Linked DNA regions of Macaca fascicularis. The protein of the gene in region 3 interacts with the protein of the main gene of each other region in a pairwise test. Links are inferred from orthologs where the notes say so. Each region holds a gene or a part of one and is shown on either strand. Other genes may lie near its edges.

The links.
Region 1: the proteins of FAM168A (region 3) and SS18L1 interact in binary tests that used the Homo sapiens proteins (3 or more experiments, as listed by UniProt). The two-hybrid records come from large-scale screens. The link is inferred for Macaca fascicularis from reciprocal best matches to the Homo sapiens genes FAM168A and SS18L1.
Region 2: the proteins of FAM168A (region 3) and OTUB2 interact in binary tests that used the Homo sapiens proteins (3 or more experiments, as listed by UniProt). The two-hybrid records come from large-scale screens. The link is inferred for Macaca fascicularis from reciprocal best matches to the Homo sapiens genes FAM168A and OTUB2.
Region 4: the proteins of FAM168A (region 3) and UBASH3B interact in binary tests that used the Homo sapiens proteins (3 or more experiments, as listed by UniProt). The two-hybrid records come from large-scale screens. The link is inferred for Macaca fascicularis from reciprocal best matches to the Homo sapiens genes FAM168A and UBASH3B.
Region 5: the proteins of FAM168A (region 3) and DTX2 interact in binary tests that used the Homo sapiens proteins (3 or more experiments, as listed by UniProt). The two-hybrid records come from large-scale screens. The link is inferred for Macaca fascicularis from reciprocal best matches to the Homo sapiens genes FAM168A and DTX2.
Region 6: the proteins of FAM168A (region 3) and UBE2V1 interact in binary tests that used the Homo sapiens proteins (3 or more experiments, as listed by UniProt). The two-hybrid records come from large-scale screens. The link is inferred for Macaca fascicularis from reciprocal best matches to the Homo sapiens genes FAM168A and UBE2V1.
Region 7: the proteins of FAM168A (region 3) and SF1 interact in binary tests that used the Homo sapiens proteins (3 or more experiments, as listed by UniProt). The two-hybrid records come from large-scale screens. The link is inferred for Macaca fascicularis from reciprocal best matches to the Homo sapiens genes FAM168A and SF1.

What each region holds. Positions count from the first base shown.
Region 1 is NC_088384.1:118,203,956-118,207,455, forward strand, and holds part of SS18L1 (calcium-responsive transactivator), read left to right. Parts: intron 1-826; coding exon 827-903; intron 904-2,997; coding exon 2,998-3,082; intron 3,083-3,328; exon of another isoform or gene 3,329-3,500. UniProt on the Homo sapiens protein: Transcriptional activator which is required for calcium-dependent dendritic growth and branching in cortical neurons. Recruits CREB-binding protein (CREBBP) to nuclear bodies.
Region 2 is NC_088381.1:162,040,940-162,045,175, forward strand, and holds the start of OTUB2 (ubiquitin thioesterase OTUB2), read left to right. Parts: upstream 1-1,436; 5' UTR 1,437-1,634; coding exon 1,635-1,637; intron 1,638-4,236. UniProt on the Homo sapiens protein: Hydrolase that can remove conjugated ubiquitin from proteins in vitro and may therefore play an important regulatory role at the level of protein turnover by preventing degradation.
Region 3 is NC_088388.1:72,428,677-72,432,729, forward strand, and holds the start of FAM168A (protein FAM168A), read right to left. Parts: upstream 2,801-4,053; 5' UTR 2,591-2,800; intron 1,919-2,590; exon of another isoform or gene 1,718-1,918; intron 1-1,717.
Region 4 is NC_088388.1:121,604,525-121,606,697, forward strand, and holds part of UBASH3B (ubiquitin-associated and SH3 domain-containing protein B), read left to right. Parts: intron 1-971; coding exon 972-1,081; intron 1,082-2,173. UniProt on the Homo sapiens protein: Interferes with CBL-mediated down-regulation and degradation of receptor-type tyrosine kinases. Promotes accumulation of activated target receptors, such as T-cell receptors and EGFR, on the cell surface.
Region 5 is NC_088377.1:51,269,024-51,273,110, forward strand, and holds the start of DTX2 (probable E3 ubiquitin-protein ligase DTX2), read right to left. Parts: upstream 2,801-4,087; 5' UTR 2,673-2,800; intron 986-2,672; exon of another isoform or gene 813-985; intron 1-812. UniProt on the Homo sapiens protein: Regulator of Notch signaling, a signaling pathway involved in cell-cell communications that regulates a broad spectrum of cell-fate determinations.
Region 6 is NC_088384.1:106,203,791-106,207,775, forward strand, and holds the start of UBE2V1 (ubiquitin-conjugating enzyme E2 variant 1), read right to left. Parts: upstream 2,801-3,985; 5' UTR 2,764-2,800; coding exon 2,742-2,763; intron 1,217-2,741; exon of another isoform or gene 943-1,216; intron 1-942. UniProt on the Homo sapiens protein: Has no ubiquitin ligase activity on its own. The UBE2V1-UBE2N heterodimer catalyzes the synthesis of non-canonical poly-ubiquitin chains that are linked through Lys-63.
Region 7 is NC_088388.1:9,621,260-9,624,759, forward strand, and holds part of SF1 (splicing factor 1), read left to right. Parts: intron 1-1,824; coding exon 1,825-1,977; intron 1,978-2,181; coding exon 2,182-2,271; intron 2,272-2,626; coding exon 2,627-2,810; intron 2,811-2,897; coding exon 2,898-3,013; intron 3,014-3,108; coding exon 3,109-3,216; intron 3,217-3,500. UniProt on the Homo sapiens protein: Necessary for the ATP-dependent first step of spliceosome assembly. Binds to the intron branch point sequence (BPS) 5'-UACUAAC-3' of the pre-mRNA. May act as transcription repressor.

The DNA.
Region 1 (3,500 bases), on a different chromosome or scaffold from region 3:
GGTTCCGCAGTCTCACCCACCTTTCCTGCCCCCACACCGGCCTGTGTTGTGTGTGGTTTCTTCTACCCGTAGTGCTGTCCCTGCCCCTTCCAGACCCTTTCCTTCCCTCCCCCACCGCGGTTGGTGGCAGCCCCTGCAGGAAGTCTTGATGCCCCCCACCTAGGAGTGCCCTGGACCCCTGCTGATCCTGAGGGGGGCAGCTACCTGTGTCCCACCCTGTGTGGTTGTGATTTGAGGCTGTCCCCTCCAGCTGGGGGCTCCAGGGCCTCTTGTGGGGTGCCCACGGGGTCCTGACATCCTTGCTGTCGACTTGGCTGACCCTTGCTGCACAGATGCTCTGCAGTCAAGGGCCCTGGAAGCTGGAGGGTCCTTCAGGGTGGGGGCTGCTGGAGGCATGGGGCCTCCATGTTTTCATCTGTGGGCTGAGATGGCCCTGCCGCTTACTGGCGAAGTCCTTAGCACAGGGATGTGTGAGTGTTTGGTTTGTGGTGGCTGAGGCCATGCATGGAACGACAGCTTCACGTACAGAACGGGCGTAGCATCCCAGATCTGGAAATTTGAAGTGCTCCAAAATCTAGAACTTTTTGAGCGCCAACATGAGGCTCAAAGGAAACGCTCATCAGAGCATTTCAGGTTCTCGGATTTGGGATGCCAAACCGGTGGGTCTAAAACAGATACCTCCAAATCTGGAAAAATCTGAAATGTGACACGTTTCACGTAAGGGCCACTCAGCCTATATGAAAACTAGATGCGTAGCGGTGGCGGTTCATCCCGAGGGCCAGCGGCAGCCCCGCGTCGGCAGCGCCCGCTCACGCTCTCTCCGCAGATGCTGGACGAGAACCACCACCTGATCCAGTGCATCCTGGAGTACCAGAGCAAGGGCAAGACAGCCGAGTGCACGCAGTGAGTGCCGCCCGCCGTCCGCGGAACACTCTGGGGGTCATGCAGACTCTAAGCATGGAGGCCAGATATGTCCCGAGAGCCCCCCAGTGCGCAGGTCAGATATGTCCCGAGAGCCCCCCAATGCGGAGGCCAGATATGTCCCGAGAGCCCCCCAGTGCGGAGGTCAGATACGTCCCGAGAGTCCCCAGCATGGAGGCCAGATAAGTCCCGAGAGTCCCCAGCACGGAGGCCAGATACGTCCCGAGAGCCCCCCAGCATGGAGGCCAGATACATCCCGAGAGTCCCCAGCATGGAGGCCAGATAAGTCCCGAGAGCCCCCTAGCATGGAGGCCAGATAAGTCCCGAGAGCCCCCCAGCATGGAGGCCAGATACGTCCCGAGAGTCCCCAGCATGGAGGCCAGATAAGTCCCGAGAGCCCCCCAGCATGGAGGCCAGATACGTCCCGAGAGTCCCCAGCATGGAGGCCAGATAAGTCCCGAGAGTCCCCAGCACGGAGGTCAGTACGTCCCGAGAGTCCCCAGCATGGAGGCCAGATACGTCCCGAGAGTCCCCAGCATGGAGGCCAGATACGTCCCGAGAGCCCCCCAGTGCGGAGGTCAGATACATCCCGAGAGTCCCCCAGCATGGAGGCCAGATACGTCCCGAGAGTCCCCCAGTGCGGAGGCCAGATAAGTCCCGAGAGCCCCCCAGCATGGAGGCCAGATAAGTCCCCAGAGCCCCCCAGCACGGAGGCCAGATAAGTCCCTAGAGTCCCCCAGCATGGAGGCCAGATAAGTCCCGAGAGTCCCCAGCATGGAGGCCAGATAAGTCCCCAGAGCCCCCCAGCATGGAGGCCAGATAAGTCCCCAGAGCCTCCCAGTGCGGAGGCCAGATAAGTCCCCAGAGCCCCCAGCACGGAGGCCGGATACGTCCCGAGAGCCCCCCAGCACGGAGGCCAGATACGTCCCGAGAGTCTCCCAGTGCGGAGGCCAGATACGTCCCGAGAGTCCCCCAGTGCGGAGGCCAGATACGTCCCGAGAGTCCCCCAGCACGGAGGTCAGATACGTCCCCAGAGCCCCCCGGTGCGGAGGTCAGATACGTCCCCAGAGCCCCCCGGTGCGGAGGTCAGATACGTCCCGAGAGTCCCCAGCATGGAGGTCAGTACGTCCCGAGAGTCCCCAGCATGGAGGTCAGATAAGTCCCCAGAGCCCCCCGGTGCGGAGGTCAGATACGTCCCCAGAGCCCCCCGGTGCGGAGGTCAGATACGTCCCCAGAGCCCCCCGGTGCGGAGGTCAGATACGTCCCGAGAGGCCCCAGCACAGCTGCGAAGCGTTGCTGCCAGAACTGGGGTAGTTCCGAGGGAGGCGGGAGGAAAGAGCAGTGTGGGGAGGCCCGGGCCAGCCTCTGTGGGCAGCTCTACGGCCGGGAGACAGCACCTCCTCCAGGTGGGACCTCCTGTGACCCTAGGGCCTGACACAGAGGAGGGGTGTATGGCCAGTCTGCCACCCTCCAAGCGGCTGTCCGAGTGGCCATCAGGCTGACCTGGAGGCGGGAAGTAGGTGAATGGCCTCAGACACCCCTGGGTGTGAGTGGGGTGAGGGGACTGGGGCCCCACTGGTGTGAGGTGTACGAGGGGCCTTCCCTGGCAGAACTGTGCTTCCCCATTTCTTTCCAGGGCTTTCTCAGGGTCGCTGACTCTATGGAGTCTGCCCACTGCCTGGTTCAGCTGGACAAGGGCTCTGTCCCTCTGTCACCTTCAGGCCCCTGCCTCCTCGTGGCCTCCCCCATTTCCATTCTCTGAGCAGACCAGTGCCAGCTCCCCGTTAGCTGCTGCCTTAGAGTCTTTCCAGAGGTTTTGGTGTGGGATGGGAGCCTGCTCAGGGTTTGGGGTAGAGGCTGCCCTGCCGTCCCCACCTAGACCCCAGCACCCTGCCACCTGCCTGTGTCCAGCTGGGCAACCAGCTGGCCTGTCCCTGGGTGTCGTCTGGAGTCCGTGTCCTCATGAGGTTTGGTTGGTTGTCAGACTGTGGTGTTCACACTTTACTTCTGCCTTGGATCCACCTGGGGACTCCGTGGTCCCGTCCTCCTGCCTCACGCATGCCCCCTCTCCTGCAGGTACCAGCAAATCCTGCACCGGAACCTGGTGTACCTGGCCACGATCGCAGACTCCAACCAGAACATGCAGTCCCTGCTTCCTGCCGTGAGTACCCGCTGGGGTGGCCCCCTTTACCCAGCAAGGACCCCGACACTGCCTAAAATCGGGAGTTGTGGGCGTATCACCTCAGGTAACAGAGATGACTCAGAGAAACCAAAAATACCACTAGAGTCACCAGAAATGGGAGTGTGGGCGGTGGTGACCAACCCTTCCTGACAGACTGGGGGTAACGACGGCGTCTGAGGTGGCCGGGTCGGAACTGTGGTTCAGCCTCTGTATGTATTGAAGGGAGGGAAGTCCCGGAAGAACCACTGTAGGAACGGCCGCAGCTCTCGGGTCGGGGGTGGGGAGAGATGGGATGGGGGCCCCTGCGTCTCCCTGGAACCTCTCTGGGTGCTTTGAGCAGTTGTGAACCATGCACATGCGCTGCTGTGGGTGAAAACAGAACTTAAAAGAAAACGTG
Region 2 (4,236 bases), on a different chromosome or scaffold from region 3:
CCCAACTTGAGGGCTCATCAAAACCTTGGCTGAAGAGACTCTTCACCCATGTCCCTCACCCAGATACCATGGAACCTGGCTCAGTCATTCCTCCGCAGAGGGAAGATAACATGCCTTGGAATGAGCACTGGCTGGGGAGTCAGAAGTCTGGGGATCCAGCCCAGCCAGGCCACTTCTTAGCTCAGCAGCACTGGGCTGCTCCTGTCACCTCCCTGGCTTTCTTGGCTGTAAAAAACAAAGAGGAGAAACCCCCTGAAAACAAACGGGGGTCAGGGTGGGGGCAGGTAACACAGCCCCTGTAGTCACGTGCAGAGTGAATTGGAAACCAGCTCTGGAGTCACACTGCCTGGGACTGAATCCCACTTGAGTGCTATGTGACTTACGCAAGGAACTTAAACTCTCTGTAATGTTTCCTCATCTGTGAAATAGGGATAATAATAACAGGACCTACCCCCATAAACCAGTTGTGAGGAAATTAAGCAAGATACTTCTGTATATGTGGAGGGTTCAGGATAGCACCTGATACATAGTAGGTGTTCTGCATAACTGTATAAATAACTGTAAAAAGTTAGATGCTATTGTTACTGCTCCTTGAGCCTCCATTGACCCCACACTCCCTACCCAGGTCATGATACATGCTTGGAAGACTCAGATGTCTGTATGCCCAGAGCCTAGCCTCGTGCCTGGGACTTACAGAGTAAGAGTTGTGGCGGGGGGGAGGGGCGGGGCAGCAGCAGGAAGGGGAATTGCTCAATACACACTCCTGGAAATATTAATATTGTGAAGTGGATGCATGCAATGCACTGAGCCCCCCTTCCCTACAAACTCTCCCTACTACACCCAAAGCAGCTCCTCCAGGACTCAAGGGCTGGTGAATGAATCTTTGAATGATAAATATTCCTATTTTGATGTCCATTAATAATGAGCTTGTGGGCAAGATGAGTCATCTAGACATGGTTCACGGATATCCCTACAATTCCAGAGCCACAGAGTCAACGATCCTGGACATTCATTCATTCAACAAACATTAACTGGGTGCGTGGCAACCTACTGATTCATGAGTTAGAAGAGGGTAAAATATTATGTAGAAGCCATACTTAATGTTATTGGACACGTGTTCCCTAAGCGCCTATCCTCTGATCTTGTGCAAACTATACTTATGTGACCTTGTTTATGAATTAATGAGGGCCAGCTAATCCTTCAGAAGACTCCAATTTTAGGTTTGCGCAAAAGCCCTTCAGCCTTTGCAAACGAGGACCTGTCTTTCTGGGTTGAGCTAACTCCTCTGCTAGTTAAAAGCTTTCTGTGTCTTTAAAAAGGGGAGGCATCCTGTCAAATGGTCCCTAAAGCATAGGCTGAAGGCGCGTGAAGTCCCACCCACTTTCTATGACGTCCTGCATCCCGGCTCCTGATTGCCCGCCTGAGACGTCAATTGCGGGGCGTGTGTCTTCCTGGGACACAGTGGAGGTCTAACCTTTGGTTTGCGGAGTGGTCGGGTGTATTCTCCGCCGCCCCCACGCCCTCGAGGTCCCCGCCACCGAACCAGCGGCGGAGCCCGCCCGCGCCTCCCGCGGCACTCCCGCACCGGATCGCTCCTCGCTGGGGCGGGACCTGGCCTGGCGGCTCCGGTCACTATGGTCAGTGATCGTGGGGGATCGCGAACGGGGAGCGGGCAGGGGGCGCGGTGGGCGGGGTCGCTGTCGGAGCGGGTGCACCTGCGGGACGGGGGTTGGACGCGAGGCTCAGCCCCCAGACCACCCCCGCCGCGTTCCGAACCCCTGAAATACGGAGTCCGGACGGATACTGGGGGCCAGGTCGCGCCCCGCTGTCCCCCGTGGACGTGCAGCTGAGGAGGTCCAGCTCGGCCCCGAGTCCCCGCCCCCAGCGTGTCCGCCCCAGTTGGCCCTGGGCGCCGCCTCGACGGCGCTGGGTGGGCGCCCTCGACGGAAGCAGGGACAGGGAGGCTGCAGCGCTATGGGTCGCCTCCTCTTTGTTAAGTAGCCCCCCAGTCAGCAGTCCACGGCCCCTCCCACCCGAGGGCTCAGCCGTCAAAGACCAACCCACTCCTGGCCCCTGCCCCAACCCCACGAGGGGATCTAGGAGTTGCACAGGGGACCAGATCGTCTGTCCCTGCGGGCGACTAGTCCGTCTCCATTTTTGGAGTCGGGACCCACGTGGAGAGGTTGCCTTAAGTTGTGAGGCACATGAGTTAGGGGTCGGGGAAAAGAAAATACTCAGGAATCCCTGATGGAGAGTCCTGTCTGCACAGAACGGGGCCCAGAGACCCTCTGAGCCAGGCTAACCCTGGGCTTGGGCAGGTGGGGAAACTGAGGTCAGACAGGGAAGGGCTGGTACTGATAGTGGTGGTCCTGGGACTTGAACCCAGGCCTCTGGACTCTCAGTTCAGTACTCTTTGTGTTACATCAGCTCACCTTCCAGGTTGCCATGGGGTCAGGCATCCTGCAGGGGACTGGGTGGGATGGCTGCCTAAGACCCTTCAGCCCTGAGCAGGGGGGAGCCTGTGGAGTGAGGGCTGAGTGGCTTGAGTCGGGGCCACACAGCCCCAGGTTCAAGTCTCACTTCCACCTCCTGGAAAGCAAAGAGGCTTTGGTTGGTCCACTCTCCCCCTCAGCACCGTTTTGCACATCTGTAATGGGCTGCTGTGAGAACCATGTGAGATGATTAGCTGGAGCTTTTCCTGTGACAACAGAGTCCTGGAAATGGGTGTGCACAGATGCCTGGTTCTTCAAGCTTAGCCTCCTCTCTCCTATGACTGGGCAGGAAAATGGGTCACCGCAGCAGGATGCTGCCAGGCTGGGGCATGGGTCAAAGCCTGGTCATGGCCTGGCATGATCTGGGTGTGGCATAGGCAGCCAGGGCACTCGAGCTGGGACTGTCCTTGCCAAGCCAGCTTGGGGCGTAGCTGGGGGCCTCTGGGGCATCTGGAAGCACCAGCTTCCTGCTTCCACTTGGTGCCCAAGGGTTTACCTGGTTGAGCTGCTCCTGGAAGGCAGCCCAGGTGTTTCTGCATCACCCACCAGGGAGGGATGGAGCTGGGGTAATGATGGGCTTAGCCACCCGGGAGCTGGAGGCTGGCATGCCCTCTGGCCACCACTCGGCAGCTGAGAGCACAGCAGAGGCGGTAGCCGCTCTTTGTGCCATGCAGTGAGGCCGCTCACTCTGCCCCCTATGTGCCCTAACTCAGGAGACTGGAAGTTAGAGGGCAGGTGGGGTCCAAAGCCCTCACACCTCACCGGGGGCTTGAGTGCCTTGGCAATGGATGAAGTGATTAACCCACTAAAATAGGATGTCTGTCTGGGAATCACAGGGGTGGAGGCAGTGCAGGGTCTGTCTGTTCCCTTCCCTTCACGTGGCATTTATTGAGCACCTACTGCATGTGGGGACCATACTGGGCCCTATACTGCATGGTGGGTTTTTATGTTGAACCTGCATTGTGTGGATGGTGGTGAGTGTGTGTGTGTGACAGAAGGAATATCCTTGGAAAATACAGCATCTTCTTTGCTTTCCTGTTTCTACATCACTGGGCTAAGCTTGAGGAAGGGCCCCCCGTGGAAGACACAAAGCCCCTTGGGAAGGTAGGGGTGAGACAAGGACCAGGCCTCTGGCAGGGAGTGCAAATAGCGAGGAGTCTCATGCACTCAAGGTGCATTTCATGTTTGGCGAATGAATGAATCAGACATAAGCAGGAAAACCACAGGGGCCTATTGTGCTTTGTTCTGTTATTTGTCAAACAGGTCCCCAGTGGGCGCCTTTGTCAGGCCTGTGCTGGGCACTGTGACACTAATGAGAAAGACAAGGTGCCCGCCCGCTCTAGGACCTCACTGCCTGCTGGCCAAGACAGCTGGACACAAGCAGTGTCTGAGCTACAGGTCATGGCCTAAGAGGCCTAAGGACTTTGGGAGCACAGTGAGGGGTCAATATGCTCTGAGGGAGTGGGGGTGTTGGAAGGTTCTGCAGAGGAGGTCTTTTGAGCTGGGGGAGGTCTTTTGAGCTGAGTTGAAGGATGTATATGAGTGTTCAAGAAGGATTTGGGAAGGGTTCATTCCTTCTGGTGGGTGCGGGGGGAAAGTGGGCTATCAGGCTTTGAAGCATGGTCAAGAATGGGGAAAGGTAAACAGCCTCTGAAGATGCAAGGAGATTGAGGGAGGCAGGGAAATTGAGTCTGGAAAATTCGGTGGGATCAGGATGTTCTGTGCAGGGCCTCACTTGTGCTAT
Region 3 (4,053 bases):
AGAAATGTACCCTTAACTATCTCAAGCTCATCAAATCTATTTAAATTTCAAATTCCAGGTATAGTTTTTAAATGCACCAGGAGGAGAGGGGAAAGGAAAAGGCAGAAATATTATATAGAAAGATATCTATTACATTCCAGTTTATCTTCTCCCACCTTTAGTTTGGAAGTATGCTCCTTTTCCCCCAACTTACTTTTTATGATATACAAATAACAGAAGACACCCTCCCCTCCTTAATTTTACCTTAACTAAATCCCCTTTCAACTTTACCCTTTGGGCTGACTTGACTTCCAAATTATACTAATATAAATAAAACAAACAAAAAGATCAACCGAACAGATTAAAATGGCCCCTAAGAATGAGATGCTCTCTTCTGTGTCCCCTGCAAAGTCCCCTCTAACAGGCTTACTGCCTCTCCCCCAATCACAGCCACCAAGGCTGTCCATTTAAGTATTCCAACCCTTAACCCTCATGTGTCTCTTGGAGGCCATCCCAATTCTTCATCTCCAAAATAATCCAACCCATTTCCACCCCCTTCTCCCGCACAGCTCACTGTCCCTCTCCATCCTCTCTGCCCTATCCATACCAACAACTCCAGGTCTCCCATTCCTTAAATTTCCCCTGTGCCACCTCACCATCAGCAACCACCTCCCCAGGCCTACCAGCTCATCTCCGAAAGTCCTTCTCCAAAACTCCCTCTGCCACCTTGGCCAAGGGACATTTTCTTCAAGATACCATCCCCCAACTTTGCTCACCCCTGCCGCTATCCTTTCAATGAATGCAGCCCAGTGATGTTTTATGTGCCCTCTGCCTTGACCCTGGAACCAAGGAGCCACCATGCCCTTTCCAGTGATTGTAAGATCACCCTAAATCCAACCCACTGTGCCCCACACTCTATTTCCATCCCTGTCCTCCCATTTCGGGCCTGACTTCCAATGTGACCCCTTCCTGCCAGCTCACCATCACACTCCCCTCACTGAATGTTTCACCTCCACCAACTCCTATTCCAACCTCCATCAGCCCACCCCAGGAAACCCCCAAATTGCACTCCTCTGCTCTATCCTAACCCATGCTATTCCGTAAGTCTCCACAAATTCCACCAGCCCCAGATGACAAACACCCACTTCAAGCTCAGGTCTCAACCCATGCCAAGCCCCTCACCCCCAACTCCTGCCACCTCCATCATCCTGCCCCAGGTCTACCCCAAATTCCACCCTCCTGAATTAACACTCCGCAGGGTCCTGTCCAGCCCTGTACATGCCACTCACTCTCCGTTGAAATCATTCCCCTACCCCTCACCCCAGCTCAGATCCCAAGCTGTCAACTGCTCCAGGCCAAACCCAAATCACCACCCTCATTCAGTCCCCTCCCCCATTAAAAGCCATCCCACCCTAGTCTCATCTTCCACCTCGCCCCAAGACCATCCCGAATTCCAACCTGGCGCCCCCACCCCACTCTCCTGTCCCAGGTTGTGTTATTCTCCATCAAAAGTCCTCCTCCCTGGTCGCCCGCCCCCCAACCTGCTTGGGTCCCACCCTCACCCCACCCCCAGCCAGCGCCTGGACAAGTCTCCCCCACCAGCCCGCCGTTCCATCGCGACCTGAACCCCCTCCCCACCACCTGCACGGGGGCTCCGCAGCCCCCACTCTCATTCTCGCCAGCGCCACCGGCCCAGGCTCAGGACCAGCGGACCGGGTGGCGGGGGGAGTCTCCTCACCGGTGAGCAGCTGCAGGCGAAAACGGCGGCGGCGGCGGCTGAGGCGGCGATGCCCTTGTCTTCTCCGGAGGCTACGGCGGCGACGCTCTCGCTCCCTCGCCCGTGTCCAGTAGGGTGGCGGATGGCGCGCGGGGACCGGAGCCTCCTCCTCCTCAGCCACTCGGCTCTGAATCCTCTGCAGTAGCCGCCGAGGAGCCCGACGGGTTGGGGGAGGGGACGCTCGGCTGCGGGCGAGGGAGGAGGAGGCGGAGGGAGGAGGCGGGGGACCGCTGAGAAGGGCAGGGAAGGAGGAGCCGGCGCGGCGCCGCGACACGTCCCACAGCCTCAGAGCGCCGGGACCACAACTCCCGGCATGCCCTGCTTTAGCCCGCGCGCGGCCTGAGCCTCCCGCCGCCAGCCCGGTGCAGAGGGGCCGCGCCCTCTCCGGTCACGCACAATGGAATAAAGCCAACCATCCGCTGGCAGACTCTGTAGACTCAAAGACCACCTGTGAGGAAAGTCAGGTCGCCCGAGGCCCCATCCCCAAGGGGCCATACTCGCAACGTCTCCATCCTCTTTGCATAGACACACACTCTCTCTCTTTCTTTCTCTCTCTCTCTCGCTCGCGCTTTCTCTCGCTCTTGCTCTCTGTCTCTCTCTCTCTTTCTCTCTCTCTCTCTCGACTACACCTCCCAGCATGCCTCTCAGCTTCCTGTTCTCCTTCCGGACCCCTCTCAGACCCGGCACTACAGTTCCCTGGGAGTGTGGTCCCTGCGAAATGCTGGGAGATGCAGTTCTCGGTTCTTCCTCCATGTTAAGAAAAAGAAGTGAAAGAGAGGCAAAGGGAAGGAATATGCCAGCCCACCGAGGATGGGCCTTGATGGGCTAGATCACCTGTAATTCTGTTCTTCCCTCGCCATCTCTGTTTCAGTTGTCTTTCACCAGAACTAATGCCGGAGCTTCCTCGCTGGTCTCCCTGCAAATTTGAGGACGATTCGGCAACTTGAATCCAAACGACAAAGCGCATACTTCTTGACCCAGCTCCATTACTTTCAAGAATTTACCTTAAAAAATAATCGAACAATTTCGAAAAGATGAATGCACAAAGTTGTTATATGACGTAGTTAATTATGGGGGGAGTAAATGTTCATCAATAGGGTGCTGCTTAAATAAGGCGTGACATATACATACAATGCAATACTAAGGAGCCATTTAAAATGATGATATAAATCTATTGATATGAAAAGCTATTCACAATTTATTCTTCAGGGAAAAAAACTGATTACAGAACGTCATGTCTACACGGGTACATTTATGTGAAGTTTGACACAATATTCTATAAGCATGGAGAGATTTCAGGAAAGAGGTTCGCCAAAATATTAGCAATGATTATCTTGGGGGAAAGGGTGTCAGATTGCACGTAGGGTTTTTTTGTTTTTTGAGACGGAGTCTGAATCTATAGCCAGGCTGGAGTACAGTGAGGCGATTGCGGCTCACTGCAACCTCCGCCTCTCGGTTTCAAGCGATTCTCCTGCCTCAGTCTCCTGAGTAGCTGGGATTACAGGCACGCGCCACGCCCAGCTAATTTTTGTATTTTTAGTAGAGATGGGGTTTCACTGTGTTGGCCAGGATGGTCTCGATCTCCTGACCTCCTGACCCGCCCGCCTCAGCCTCCCAAAGTGCTGGGATTACAAGCAGGAGCCACTGTGCCCGGCTGTAATTTTTATTTTCATATTGTTTGAATTGTTTAAAAGGAGCACCTAACAACTGTTTTTTGTTTTCTTTTGTTTTGTTTTTTGTTTTGTTTTAATTGTAAGAGACCATCGTGTCACTATATTGCCCAGGCTGGTCTCAAACTCCTGGCCTCAAGAGACCCTCCTGCCTCAGCTCTCAAAAGTGCTGGGATTACAGGCATGAGCCACACTACACCTAGACAATTTTTTAAGCTGTACTACTTCCACAAAACATAATTTCCAAATCTAACCTTTCTTTGCTGCCTAGATGCTTTCCATGACTTCCCATTGCCTCATTCACGCTTCAGCACTGTGCCTGCCTGGTTTTAATAGTTACACTATTAAAAAAATAATAGTAGTCACTTCCAATTCATAAAGTTAGAAGGGAGAATTTTCTCAATTTTCAATGCGCCTTCTCAAAATTTTTCCTTTTCTGGTCTTTCCACACCCATTTTCTCCTTTTCTCTTATTCTTCAAACTCAAACCAAAGTCCTACCTTCCCTAGAACATTTTTAGACACACTGATTTTCCTTGTATCTGAATTCTTTTTTTTTTTTTTTTTTTTTGAGACAGAGTCTTGCTCTGTCGGCCAGGCTGGAGTACAGTGGCGCAATCTCAGCTAAC
Region 4 (2,173 bases), about 49 Mb from region 3:
GCAACAGTATTATGGATGATGCCCACCTTCCAGTTTTCATTGATTAGCCAGTCACTGCCATAAAGGTACACAACATGTTCTATCAACCAGAAAGTCTCAAGTACTCACAGTTCTACAGTGGGCGCATTTAAAACTATATTAGAAGGAGTAACCCAGAGAGCCCTGTGGACCTACAGCAGTTCTGTATCTTGACTGTCATGGTGTTACACAAAGCTATACATATGATAGAATTGCATGAACTATATCGTCACATATACACAAACTACTGTTTGAACACCTGCTAAAATCTGAATACGCTGTGTGTATTGCACCAGCGTCCATTTCCTGGGTCTGATACTGTACCATAGTTATGTAAGATGTTACCATTGGAGGGAGCTGGGAGGAAGGGTTCATGGGACCTTGCTGGTATGTATGTATATGTATTATATGTAGCCCTCCCATAAGTCAATAATCATTATTATTATTATTACCGAGACAGGGTCTTGCTCCTGTCACTCAGGCTGGAGTGCAGTGATGCAATCATGACTCACTATAGCCTCAATCTCCTGGGCTCAAGTGATCCTCCCACATCGGCCTCCCAAGTAGCTGGAACTACAGTCACAGGCCACCACACCCAGCTAATGTTCTTTTAATTTTCTGTAGGGACAGGGTTTCACTATGTTTCTCAGGCTGGTCTCAAACTCCTGAGCTCAAGTGATCCTCCCTCCTCGTTCTCTCAAAGTACTGGAATTACAGGGATGAGCCACCACACCTGGCTCCATACATCTGTAACTATTTTAAGATAAAATGTTTTCTTTAAAAAAATTAGGCTGCCTTATCAATAACAAAGCACTTACAAAATATTGCTTAGGCAAATTGTCTTTTTCTTGAGTGTGTTTGCTCCCCTCCAGAACATTTAGTTAGCTTCCAGTATTTGCAGTTTCCATGTCTTTATAGAAACAGTCTTCCCATTCCTTGCCATTTTCCCCCAGGAAATAACATCCTGATTGTGGCCCACGCATCTTCCCTTGAAGCTTGTACCTGCCAACTTCAGGGCCTGTCACCTCAGAACTCCAAGGATTTCGTACAAATGGTCCGAAAGGTAATTCATTCTCGCTCTGTGGGGTCCGTGATGGCTAGTAGTTTGAGGTCAGCACAGTGACTGGCTGATTACTAAGTTCTTTGAAGCATGTGTTTATGCTGAGCTGGGAATATTCATTTATTGATTCTCTCAACCAAGACGTATTGAGTGATACTCTGTGCAGGGCACTTTATTAAGCCTTGTGTTAGAAAAACAATGTATTAGAGCTAGTTCTAGCTTCTAAGAGCTAAAATGTAGGAAGCAGCTAGGAATTATAAGCAAATTGTATGGATTTCCCTGAGGGACCTTCTTTGAATTTCCCTGAGGGAACTTGGGGTTGGATCAATAGAGGTCAGTCCAAAAGACAGCATCTGAAAGCTTAACTCAAACACAGGTCCTTGAAGGTAGGCTGAGGCATGCAGCAATTTAAAATGAGGAGGCTAAGAGGCAAAGCCAGGAACAAGACAGCAAGACAGAAAACCCATGAGGCTGACCCACACATCTGGAGTCTTCCTTTCAGTGGGAGAGGTTCCCTGGTCAGCTGCCTCCCACACACTTCCCTTCTGGCGAATTACATACTTCCTTTCTCTGCCACCAGAGAAACTGGTTCAAACTCATTCGCAATTGTTTTTCACATTTTTGAAAAGTTTATTTATGCATCTGTCCTCATTTGTCAGTGCTGGAAGACAGAGAATTTTGTCTTGTTTGTAAATGCAGCTCTCTGGACACAGACAAAAATAAGTTTTAAAATTGCTGTGACAACTGAAGTGAGGGAGAGCACAGCTTCAGCTTTGAATGTTACAGACTCATAAGGAGAAAAAAAAAATGGGTGAAACAAATTTTTTTAAATTGGAGCATCTTTTCCATTGGGTCCAAGTATAATTTCAGAAATGTTTGAGCTGCCTTTTTCTTTTCCTTTTTTTTTTTTTTTTTTTTTTTTTGAGACAGAGTCTCACTCTGTCACCCAGGCTGGAGAGCAGTGACACAATCTCAGCTCACTGTAAACTCTGCCTCCTGGATTCAAGCGATTCTCCTGATTCAGCCTCCCAAGTAGCTGGGATTACAGGCACACGCCACCACGCCCAGCTGATTTTTTGTATTTTTAGTATAGAC
Region 5 (4,087 bases), on a different chromosome or scaffold from region 3:
AGGAATTTGAGGCTATGGTGAACCATGATCACTCCACTGCACTCCAGCCTGGGCGGCAGCAGCAGACACCAACTCAAAAAAATAATAAATAAAATACCCCTCATGGAAATCTCCTAAAATCCTTCCGCTCCCGAGTCTTGGCATGGCCCACATAACCCTCCCTGCTCAGCCCTCTGCCTGCTTTTCCAGCTTCCTCTACCACATACTAAGCTACTTACAGTAGCCCAGCTGTGTCCCGGTAGCTTCATGACTTTGCAAACGCTGACTCCTCTCCCAGACGACTGTGCCCCACTTTCTAAGTCTACTCCTCCTTCACAACCCCCCTCAACTACCACCTTCCAGGAGCCTTCCTGACCTCCCTCTAGCCCTCCCCTTTCTGGATGTGGGTAGGAGGGCCTTGTGCTTTCCCCAGCTCAGTATATGTCACACTGACAATACTTTGTCACTGACTCTGGTTTGTCTTTTCCACTAAACAATGCGCTCCCAAAAGACAGAGATCTTGTCTGGCACCCAGTAAAGGTTTATGCAACAAAAGAAATGAAAACTGCCAGTTCAAATGCAGAAATCGTGACTTGTGTCTTCCATCCCATAAAGCATGTCTTAAAGTGGAAAGCATCTTCTAAGACTAGTTAGTGAAACAGGAGAAGCAGCTGGCAAGACGCCACTGCAATTTATTTGAGACAGGTGGCAATCAACAGTCAACTTCCAGGGCGCACGTTTATCCTGCAGACCTCAAATTCCACCCTCCCCAATCCTCACCTTCTCTGCACCAGATAGAGAAGGCAGCAAGGTCAAGTCCCCATGGCTCTCACCTTTTCTCTCTGGAGAGCTGGCACAAACCGTCCCTTCTGGATGAAGACACCAGCTCCTTAGGAAGAATGACTTGTTTGAGTTCCCATCTTGATACAAACCACAAACAACAAAAACCGGGCAAATCTGAAAGCTTGCTGACTCAGCGACACAAATTCCAAGGCACCTTTGCCAACTAGGAAGAAGATGATCAGGTTTTAAATTAAACAGCAGTTAGTAAAAAACAAAGGTACAGATGTTGGATCCGTGTGCTGTGCCTGGGGACTGAAAATCACCAGATTTATTTTCCAATAGCCTGGGCGGAGCAGAAAGTACAATAGTCTTCGTCCACCCACTTAACAATCAAGGAGATAGTTGAAAAAAACAACAAGCAAACAAAACCCTGAGCCCTTTTTAAAAGTTTTTTATTATTATTATTTTTTGGAGACGGAGTCTTGCTCTGTCACCCAAACTGGAGTACAGTGGCATGATCTTGGCTCACTGCAGCCTTCGCCTCCCAGTTTCAAGCAACTCTCCTGCCTCAGCCTCCTGAGTAGCTGAGATTATAGGCATGCGTCACCACACCTGGCTATGAGCCCTTTTCTTTAAAAAAAGAAAAAAAAAAGTTTGTTTTTTTGTTTGTTTGTTTTTTGAGACAGGGTCTCCCTCTGTCGCCCATGCTGGAGTGCAGTGGTGTGACCATAGCTCACTGCAGCCTCCAGCTCCTGGGCTCAAGCGATCCTCCTGCCTCAGCCTCCCAAGTAGCTGGGACTACAGGCACCCACCAACACGCCCATCTGATTTTTTACAGAGACAGTGATCTCAGGAATCTTCTTGTTTCCCAGGCTTGTCTCAAATTCCTGGACTCAAGTGATCCTTCCACCTCGGCCGCCCAAAGGGCTGGGATTACAGGCATGAGCCACCGTGCCTGGCCTGAGCTTTTTCCACAGAAAGCCCTAAAAGGACTTCATAAGCCAGTCTGGCAGCTAAGCATCCAGGAAATCAACACACCAGAGACGGTAAATATTTAAGGTCACAGAGCAACCGAATCAGAGGGCTTGCTATCCAGATGGCTAAAGTAAGCCCGGATGGTGGCCACCAGAAAGTCTACCTTCTAGAGCGCTAGAGGAGCTAGGAGGGCATGCAGAAATATTCTGAGTTTCTCAAGGGTCCAGACGTCTGTACACATGCTATTTATTTCCATCGCTGTTGGCGCTTAGAGAAGTGGAGCCAGCTTGGAGGAGGAGGGCAGCTGGCTGAGACAGTCGCGATGAAAGCGCAGCTCCAGAAAAGGGAACCGAGTTCTAAATCTTTTTCGGCACCCCTTAAGGACCCCAAAAAGTGACCCAGGGCCCCAGGAACTCCCGGGAAGGCTCCCCACAGGAGAGCAGGGAAGCAGAGTTAGGAAGCAAACTCCTCCAAAGTACAACCCATGGCCCAGTGAGTCCCTTCACCTGGGGGTAGACCCCAGCAGGACCCACCCCTCGTCAGAGAGCCAGTGGCAATCTCGTCACCGCCTCCTCCGGGTACTTTGGGAAGGGGTGCGCTCCTCCCGAGCGACCCGGACTCCCGGGAGCGGCGCCCCTCCGCCTGCGAGCCCCTCAGCCTTCACCCGAACGTCCTCTCTCGCACCTGGCACCCTGTCCCGTCCAAAGCTCCCGGCGCCTCCCAAGTCCCCCAACTCCCGCCCTCAGGACCTTGATCCCGGAGACCGATAGCCCCGACACCCCAGATCTCCCGGGACCCCCGGGTGTCGCCGTCGCCCCCCCTCACACCCACGCCCGCCCCTTTCCGGTCCCAGCTAGGCTCCAGCTCCCCGCGCCACCCCACGCCCCCGGGACCGCAGCCCTAGCGACGCGCAGGTGGCCTGCCCGCCCTCTCACCAAGGCTGAGGAGGACGAGGGGACGGGACGGAGGGCACCACCGCGCTCAGGCTGCAGCTCCGGAACGGCCTGGGCAGGGCTCTGGCTGTGGGTCCGACTCTCAGGAGAAGGCAGCCAGAGTGAAACTCAGCGTCGCAGCTTCCGAGCGCGCCGCTGCGCATGCCCGGGGCGTGCGGCCTTCTGGGAAATGTAGTCCCGGTGGGGCCCAGGGGGCGGGCGGGAGGCGGGGCTCGGGGGGAGGGGCTCAACCCAAGGCGCACCTGCTCCAGTGTCTGTTTTCTTCCTTCACCTGTTCACTCATTGACTTATTCCTCCAGCAATTACTGACTTAATTTTAACTAGTTTTTACTAGTACATACATGGTGCCAGGTCATGTGCTACTGTGTTTCCCTTTTTTGTTTTTAAAATTAATTTTATTTTTCTTTTTGTACAAATGGGGGTCTTGCAGCACTGCCATGTTGCTCAGGTCAATCTCAAACTCCTGGCCTCAAGCGATCCTCTTGCTTCAGCCTCCCAAAGCACTGGGGTTGCAAGTGTGAGCCATCGAGCACAGCCTTTTTAAATTTAAATTTTTGTCTTTTTCTTTTCTTTTTTGTTCTTTCTTTCCTTTTTTATTTATTTGTAATATTTATTTATTTATTTTGCTACTGTGTAGTGGGAGTGTGGGAGTGAATAAGTGAATCAGAAATGGTTTCTCAGCTGGGCGCAGAGGCCGATGCCTGTAATCCCTGCACTTTGGCAGGCGAAGGCCGGCGGATCACCTGAGGTCAGGTTCTAGACCAGCCTGGCTATTCTGGCAAAATCCCGTCTCTACTAAAAATCCCAAAAAAAATTAGCCAGGCGTGGTGGCTTGTGCCTGTAATCCCAGCTACTCTGCAGGCTGAGGCAAGACAATCACTTGAACCCTGGAGGTGTAGGTTGCAGTGAGCTAAGATCGCGCCATGGCACTCTAGCCTGGGCGACAGAGAAGGAATCCCTCTCAGGAGGAGGAGGAGAAGAAGAAGAAGGAGAAGGAGGAGGAGGAGGAGGAGGAGGAGGAGGAGGGGGAGGAGGAGGGGGAAGGAGGAGGAGGAGGAGGAGGAGGAAGAGGAGGAGGAGGAGGAGGAGGAAAATAGAAAAAGAAAAGAAAAGGTTTCTCGCCGGGCGCGGTGGCTCGCGCCTGTAATACCAGCACTTTAGGAGGCCGCTGGGGCCAGATCACGAGGTCAAGAGATTGAGACCATCCTGGCCAACATGGTGAAACCCCATCTCTACTAAAAATACAAACATTAACTCGGTGTAATGGCGCGCGCCTGTAATCCCAGCTACTCGGGAGACTGAGACAGGAGAATCACTTGAACCCCGGAGGAGGAGGTTGCAGTGAGCCGAGATCGCGCCACTGAACTCCAGCCTGGGCGACAGAGCAGGAATCCGTC
Region 6 (3,985 bases), on a different chromosome or scaffold from region 3:
CCCTTACAGGAACTCAAAGGCTTCACAGCTGTTTCCTGGCAACCAGAAGCACAGATTAATAAAGAGCCTCACTCTAAACCTGACTAAGGAAGGCCTCAGGGCCCTGACCACACCTGGAAGACTTCTCAGGGTTAGAAAGCAGGGAGGCCTGTACACTCATTTTAGTTTAACCCAAGTAAGGTCTGCTTAGCACCCTGCACTCTTTTCACTGCCTAGGGACTCTTAGCACCCTGCACTCTTTTCACTGCCTAGGGACTTAGGTCAGATCTTGCCATACTCCTCTTTTTAAGACTCTTATTTATTCATTCAACAAATATTTACTGACTGCCTACTTCATACCAGATACTTGTTTGATGGCTTCCCCTCACACCAAGTCAAATCCAAAGCCATGTCTCTCCAACTCATCTCTTTAACAAGCCTTGCTTGCACACTAAGGCCTTTTATCCTGTTCTTTCAACATGCCAAGCTCAGTCCCACCACAAGGCCTTTGCACTCACAGTCCACCCTCTCTCCTACCTGTGACACTGTAGGGTTGGCGCTTTCCATTATTCCCCTCAGTTGAAATGTCACTTTCTCAGAGAAGCCTTCCCTGACCACCTCTCCAGACACTCTTTATCATATCACACAATTTCCTCCATAGCACTTACTGCTATCTGAAATTGTCTTATTTATTTACCCCTTAACAGCCTTCTCTCCTTGACTCGAATGGAAGCTCCCAAAGGACACAGACTATGTCTGTTTTGTTTGCTATCCACAATGGGACATAATAGGCCCTCAGTAAATATCTTTTGAATAAACAGACAAAAAGAATTTTGGGAAGTCCATTTTAGGGCACCTCAAAGCCTGTTCTATGTTATTTAAACCATGCCAAATGCTCTTGTATTCCACTCGAGAGCAGCTGACATTTTATCTGATCGCCATAGCCATTTACGAAGCACTCACTTTTTAACTGTCAGGGTCTCCAGAAGTTAGAATCGGGCACCTGTTAACTCAGATTGTAGGTAGCCAACCGAGTGACTGCAAGCAGGGCTGAGCTGCAACAGCACCTTATTGCTGGCTACCGCCAGCACACTGGGCCCCTTGCTTCATTACGACCTGGTACGAGTGTTATTCTGGTGAGAAGTTTCCCCCAGCAGTCTGGCCTGACTCAGAATCTCTCTTCTGGGAGTGCCTGGGGCAGCGTCTTGGTAAATGAATTGACTCAGCACTGTTCCAGCTGAAACCAAAATCGAGTAAAAGGATTCATGGTCTCCGCTATGCTGCAAGAAGACCCCACTGTTTTAAATGCAAAAGGCAGCAGCTTCTGGTGGGTCACTTCAGTCAGATCCCCCATATTCAATTTCTTTTATTCTCACCCCAACCATCAGACAAGTATGGCTCCTTGAGACCGCAGAGGAGCAACACTGTAAAGAATTTCCCTCACCCTATTTCTCATGGATCACCAATTCCTTCCCAACACTGCCCCTGCTGTGGCCTTAAATACCCCAATGACTGCCGTACTCAGGTTCGTGTCCCTGCAGCCCCACAGTGGGGAACACTGTGGTTCTGTTTCCTTCCTCCATCAGAGGTAACCCATCTTCACCCCATCTGAGAGCACCTCCTTGGCCAACTTCACTGCCAGGCACCCGAGGGTGCAGCCTCACCCAAGAGTGTCCATTTCATCTATTCACCTCCCTACTCCCATCAGCCAGTGGGGAACTTCTGAGCTGAACCCACATATCTGTCCCAATTATCAAAGGAGTGGATGAGAGTGAGCGTCTCCACAGAAGAGACACTTCTAGGATATGCTTCCCTCACTCAATTCAAAAAGAGGAGACTTATCTCGTTTACAAGAAACATCTCTGGAACCCGACCTTCTCCACTAACTCATTTCAGGGGCTTCCCTCAGTTGAATCCCCACTCCCAAAGAGACATCCTCGGGATTCCCAATTCACCTGTTCTTCCTCATTCAATATCAGAGGCTTCCACCAATTGCCCCAACGGACCTGTCCCCTGAAAGCGAAATTGGAGCAATCCATCTGTATCCTCGAATAGGAGACTGGTAATGATGGGGTCATTTCACTATCACTGCAATCAAGTCCCTGTGGCATCTGAATCCTTTCCCCCCCGCTCTCACTTATCATGCGGAGATTCCTTAATTCTCCCCAAAAGCAGCCGCTCCAAGGCTCCTCCTTTCTAGTCAACACAGCTATTTCCTCGGCTAACCCTATCTCTAAAACTAACGCCGGAGCCGTCCCCTCAACCAATAGGGGATCCTCTCGAGTCACCCCCTCAGGATCCCGTTTCTTCCTCCCATCCAGCTTGAGGGGCTCCTCTGATGTCCCCTCCAGACATCCCAAGGCCCCCCCCTCAGCCGCACCCCTGGCACCCAGTACGGGACTTCCATCCGCTGTGGGGCGCCTCCTCCTCTAAGGAACCCCTTGGTCGCCCCTTAAAGAGTCGCCAGCCCCGGTCTCCTCAGAAGTGCCTTGGAGCTCGCTCCTCGCCCACTCCGGCTCCCCCAGGTAGCGCAGCGGGGCCCTCACGCCTCCCGGGGGAGCCTTAAGGCTCGCCGCGCCGCCCACAGGCCCCTCAGCCCCCCGCCCGTGCTTCCGGCCACCGCCTGCCCGTGGCTGCAGCGGAGCCCACCGGACAGAGGCGGCGCGGGGACCCTGGCCCCCCTGCAGGAGCCTTTGAGAGTCCCCAGCCCCCGGCCCAAGCCCATGCCCCTTCGGCCGGCCGGGCCCGGCGCCCCCGCTCACCCGAGCCCGTGGTGGCTGCCATCTTGCGTCGCTGTTGCTTGAAGGCCGGCCCCTTCTTCACCCCCCACCCGTCCCCTGGCCCTGATGCGCAGGCGCGCGCGCACGCACAGACGCCGCCACTGACGCCCGCTCCGGAGACCTGCGCGACCCGAGGCCGGGGAGGCTCTTTTCCTTCCCTTTTAGAGAAAGGAAATATCTGCGTGCTCGAGGGCTCAGCAACCTGCAAGTCCCCCCACATCGGGTGCGAGGGAGGTTGTGACGTGCTTAGTGAGAAGGGCAGGGGTGACGAGGCTTGGGAAGGCGCGATTGTGAAAGAAAAAGAAAAGATAGCTTCAAACAAAAGCGCCGAATTCACTTGGGGCTTTTTCCTGTCTAGTTCCTATCTAGATCCTCACCACATCTCCACAAGGTCGGAATTAATGTGAAAAATGCAGCCGAGAGAGATTAAACGATTTATCTAAACTCAGCTGTTAAGTGGCAGAGACAGACAGAATTTTAACCTCCAGGTTCAAATTTGAATTTGAATCGTCACCCTCCAGGTCAGATGATCTGGCTTCTAGGATTGATGCTCCCTGGCCAGAGAAGGCTTGAAGTGGGTGCAGCTAAATGATTTGGGGGCAATAAGGTGGCAGGGAAAACATTTGCTAACCATCTGCCCAATTCATTCATTCACTCATTCGTTCGTTCATTCATTCAACCAAACAAACATTAAGCACCTACTATGTACCAGACACTGTGCTAGGAGCTGGGGATGGATAGACATCTCTGAAGAAGCAAATCCCTGCTTTCAGGGGCTTCCATTCTAGTCATAGATAGCAAGTAAATAAACAGGAAACTACAATTCTGATAGGCTAGAGATAAACCAAGAAAAGGGCAGCGGAGGATGGTCAGGAAAGGCTTCCTAACGTGGTCGTATTTCAACAGAGACCCTAACAATGAGGAGGTAGAGGGAACAGCTTGTGCAAAGGCCCTCGGGAAATATTTTTGCAAATAAACCCAAGAAGTTAATCCTCCTATATTATAAATTGTCTGAGAAGCCCTTATATGGATGTAGACCCTGAAGCTGAGACAGGTGAAGGGACTGGCTTAAGGTCACAGAGCAAAATACTGGCAGAAGGACTAGGACTCTAAACAAAGAGGGACAAGGAAGCTGGAAGCCCTCACCCAGCACATCCAATTCATCACCTTTGTCTGACAACAATGCCTACTCTGCATCTCTCCTGCTCCATTCACTTCTCCACTCA
Region 7 (3,500 bases), about 63 Mb from region 3:
TTGAATTTTTAACAAACCTTCTTTGCTTCCTGGATAACTGGGATTAGAATTTAGTTGATCTAGCCGATGCCTATTGGAGGTGAAGAAGTCGGGCCAGTCTAACCTCTAGAATACTAGTTTTTGCCTTTCACTTCTGCAATTTGGGAAGAGGTTAAACTGTTGTGAGGCCTTCACATGGCCAATTGGGTAATTGGGTGCTGGTAAGACTTGTTTTTGTAACTAGCCAAGAGTGCTTAATTCTAGACAGCTATGGGGTGGGAATTAGAAATGTCAAGCATGTTAGAAATAAAACCAGAGCAGGGTTTTTCCTCCCTTGTATTCAGTTTTGAAAGAGGCCCTAATGCCTGATTGGTTTTGCTTTTGAGCCCAGGTTGGAGGGAAATGCATGGGTTTTCTTAATTAAGATAATTTATTAAAAAGGTGTTATATCAATTAAGCCACTTTATTGTTATTTCGATGCTGCTTAACTTGCACAGTAAAACATGTTTAAAACTTTTCTTGTAGACTTAAATGTATAAGATGGTAGTCTAATGAGCTGGGGTATGTTTGCTTTTGTTCACTTTTACTGGATTGTGCTAACAGTTTATACAAATGCTAGAAACGGAGGTGTCATTTAGCCGTCATTAGCCATGAACAAACCTGACCTTTTATTCCATCGTGTGTGTAACGTGGTGTGACATGGTTCCCTTTAGGCTGAAGACAGTGGGAGCAGCCGAGTTCAGTCCTTGCTCTCCAACTAGGCAAGGTTCTCTCAACTAAACCAAGGGTATAGGAGTCTTGACTACTTTCAGGATGTTTTTTTAATAACCTGATCCACATGGTCTCTTCCCTTCTTGCAGCTGCTACTAAATTTTCATTCAGAATATCAAGCTATGGTCCTTTTTGTAATCTTAACTCAAAATTCTAGGAGTGTAACCTCTCTTTTTTATTACCGCAAAATCCAGCTGTGGTAAACTGACCATTTTATCATTATATTTTTTTACTTGTAGCAACAGCATTTTACTCCTTAAAAAAATGAGAGAGAGAAAATCTGCTTTCTGGACTTGTAAACTCTGGTGGAGAATCATAGGTTTTCCCCTTGCTGTTTGCAGGTTCAGACCCTAGACAAGTATTTGACCAAATCTGCATTTGCAGCCTCTCGCAGAAGCTGCTTTAGCACTTTAACGTTTTTCTCTACTCAGACTCCCCAACCTCGAACAGCCAGAAAACAGGTTGTCTCCTGGGCCTTGGACACAGCCAGCCAGGCCATTGAAGGAAAAGCAAAGACGAAGCCTTGAACCATCTCTCTCCATTGTGGGGGCCAGTAGCTGCAGTAGCCTTCAGTCCCAGTTGCATTGGGTTAAGGAGCTTATGCGCACTATGTGTTAGGGGTACAGAAGCTTTTCCTCGTAGGGCATTAGCTCTCCAAGAGTGAACATTTTGCCTAAACTTGGGGTTTCTGTGGTTCATAAAGTTGGAATATTGTAATTTTTTTTCAAATGGAAGAAAATCCATATTTGGCAAGAAGACTCCAGGGGATGATACTGTCCTTGCCACTTATAGTCCAGAGATTTTCCCCAAAGGATAGACATTTTTTCTCTCATCACTTCTAGATGCAAAACCTTTTATTTTTTTCCTTTCTCACACACACCCCAGACCCTTAACGTTCAGCCAGCTTCCATCTCCCCATTCCACACGATCTTGAGTAGCACACGTTATGGTCGGTTCCTCCGGAGTGTTGTATTAGGGTCTGAGAGGCAGAGGGGCTGGGAAAGACTTGTTATAGTCCGTGTGGGAATGAGAGAAGTCGGGGCAGAATAGTAAACGGGAGTCTGTTTCCCACAGGTCCCCTTCCCCTGAGCCCATCTACAATAGCGAGGGGAAGCGGCTTAACACCCGAGAGTTCCGCACCCGCAAAAAGCTGGAAGAGGAGCGGCACAACCTCATCACAGAGATGGTTGCACTCAATCCAGATTTCAAGCCACCTGCAGATTACAAGTAAGCAGAGGGGCTAGGTCATCTGGGATGAGGACACATGCAGATCATGGGTGACCTGCTGGGATGGGACAATATTGGCACTACTCACCTCTTACCCCAAATCACCCATAATTAGCACTTGGTGTACCAGTAGTTAGTTTTAGAAAAGCTACTGACTGCGTCATTCTCCAGAAATGTGTGCAGTGACAGGCTTTTCTTTCTTAGACCTCCAGCAACACGTGTGAGCGATAAAGTCATGATTCCCCAAGATGAGTACCCAGAAATCAACTTTGTGGGGCTGCTAATCGGGCCCAGGTGAGTAACTGCTAGTCTATAGGATATAGAATTCCTTTAGAGCCTCTGAGATGTGTCTGTTTTGTGCCTAATTGGGAACTGTTGGCTTACTTTTCCCCTTTTTGGTAGGACATTCATTTTGACTGAATTAATGTGTTTCTGTGAGAAGGTGTTTTAATTTCCGTGCTAGTGCGGAGAAGTCAAATCCTCAGGTTTACTGTGGCTGACTGTAATGTAGAGTTCATGGAGCTTTTGGTGGGAAAATCCAATTCTCTGTGCTTTTGGTTTCCCACCAGTGTCAAATTGGTCCAGCCTCTGTTCCCTCTTGAGTATGAACTTGTCAGGTATAAATTCAGTCATTTCTGCCTCTCTATAGAGGAAACACCCTGAAGAACATAGAGAAGGAGTGCAATGCCAAGATTATGATCCGGGGGAAAGGGTCTGTGAAAGAAGGGAAGGTTGGGCGCAAAGATGGCCAGATGTTGCCGGGAGAAGATGAACCACTTCATGCCCTGGTCACCGCCAACACAATGGAGAACGTCAAAAAGGCAGTGGAACAGGTGAGTGGTGAGCCCAGAAAGGAAGCGTCTTGGCAGAAACCTAGGCGGAAGCCCTAAGCACTTAACTGTTCATTGCATATTCACTAGATAAGAAACATCCTGAAGCAGGGTATCGAGACCCCAGAGGACCAGAATGATCTACGGAAGATGCAGCTTCGGGAGTTGGCTCGCTTGAATGGGACCCTTCGTGAAGATGACAACAGGTATGTGATCAGTTTAAACGAGTGTGTGTGGAGACCTGAAGAACCTGTGGAAGTACAGATTGTCCCCTTGCATTGACCTCTTTTTCCCTTAATAGGATCTTAAGACCCTGGCAGAGCTCAGAGACCCGCAGCATTACCAACACCACAGTGTGTACCAAGTGTGGAGGGGCTGGCCACATTGCTTCAGACTGCAAATTCCAAAGGTGAGGGGCTGGCTCTTGCGGTTTCCTGGTAGCCTGCAATGTGCAGGACAACTCTTGTCACATTAATTGGTTGCTGTTAATCTTACCAAGAGAAACATCCTTTCTGTTAGTGTGGTCTGTAATGGTGTGATTTAAAGCCCAGGATGATTAGAAATAGGCTGTACAGATACCCCTGTTTGTCTTAACCCCAAGAAAACTGGAAGCTTCTGTTTTTGGTATGAATGTTTTCACTGGGGCTGAGTAGGAAATTCACTGCTTTTGCTGTTCAGAATTGGTTCAAGAAG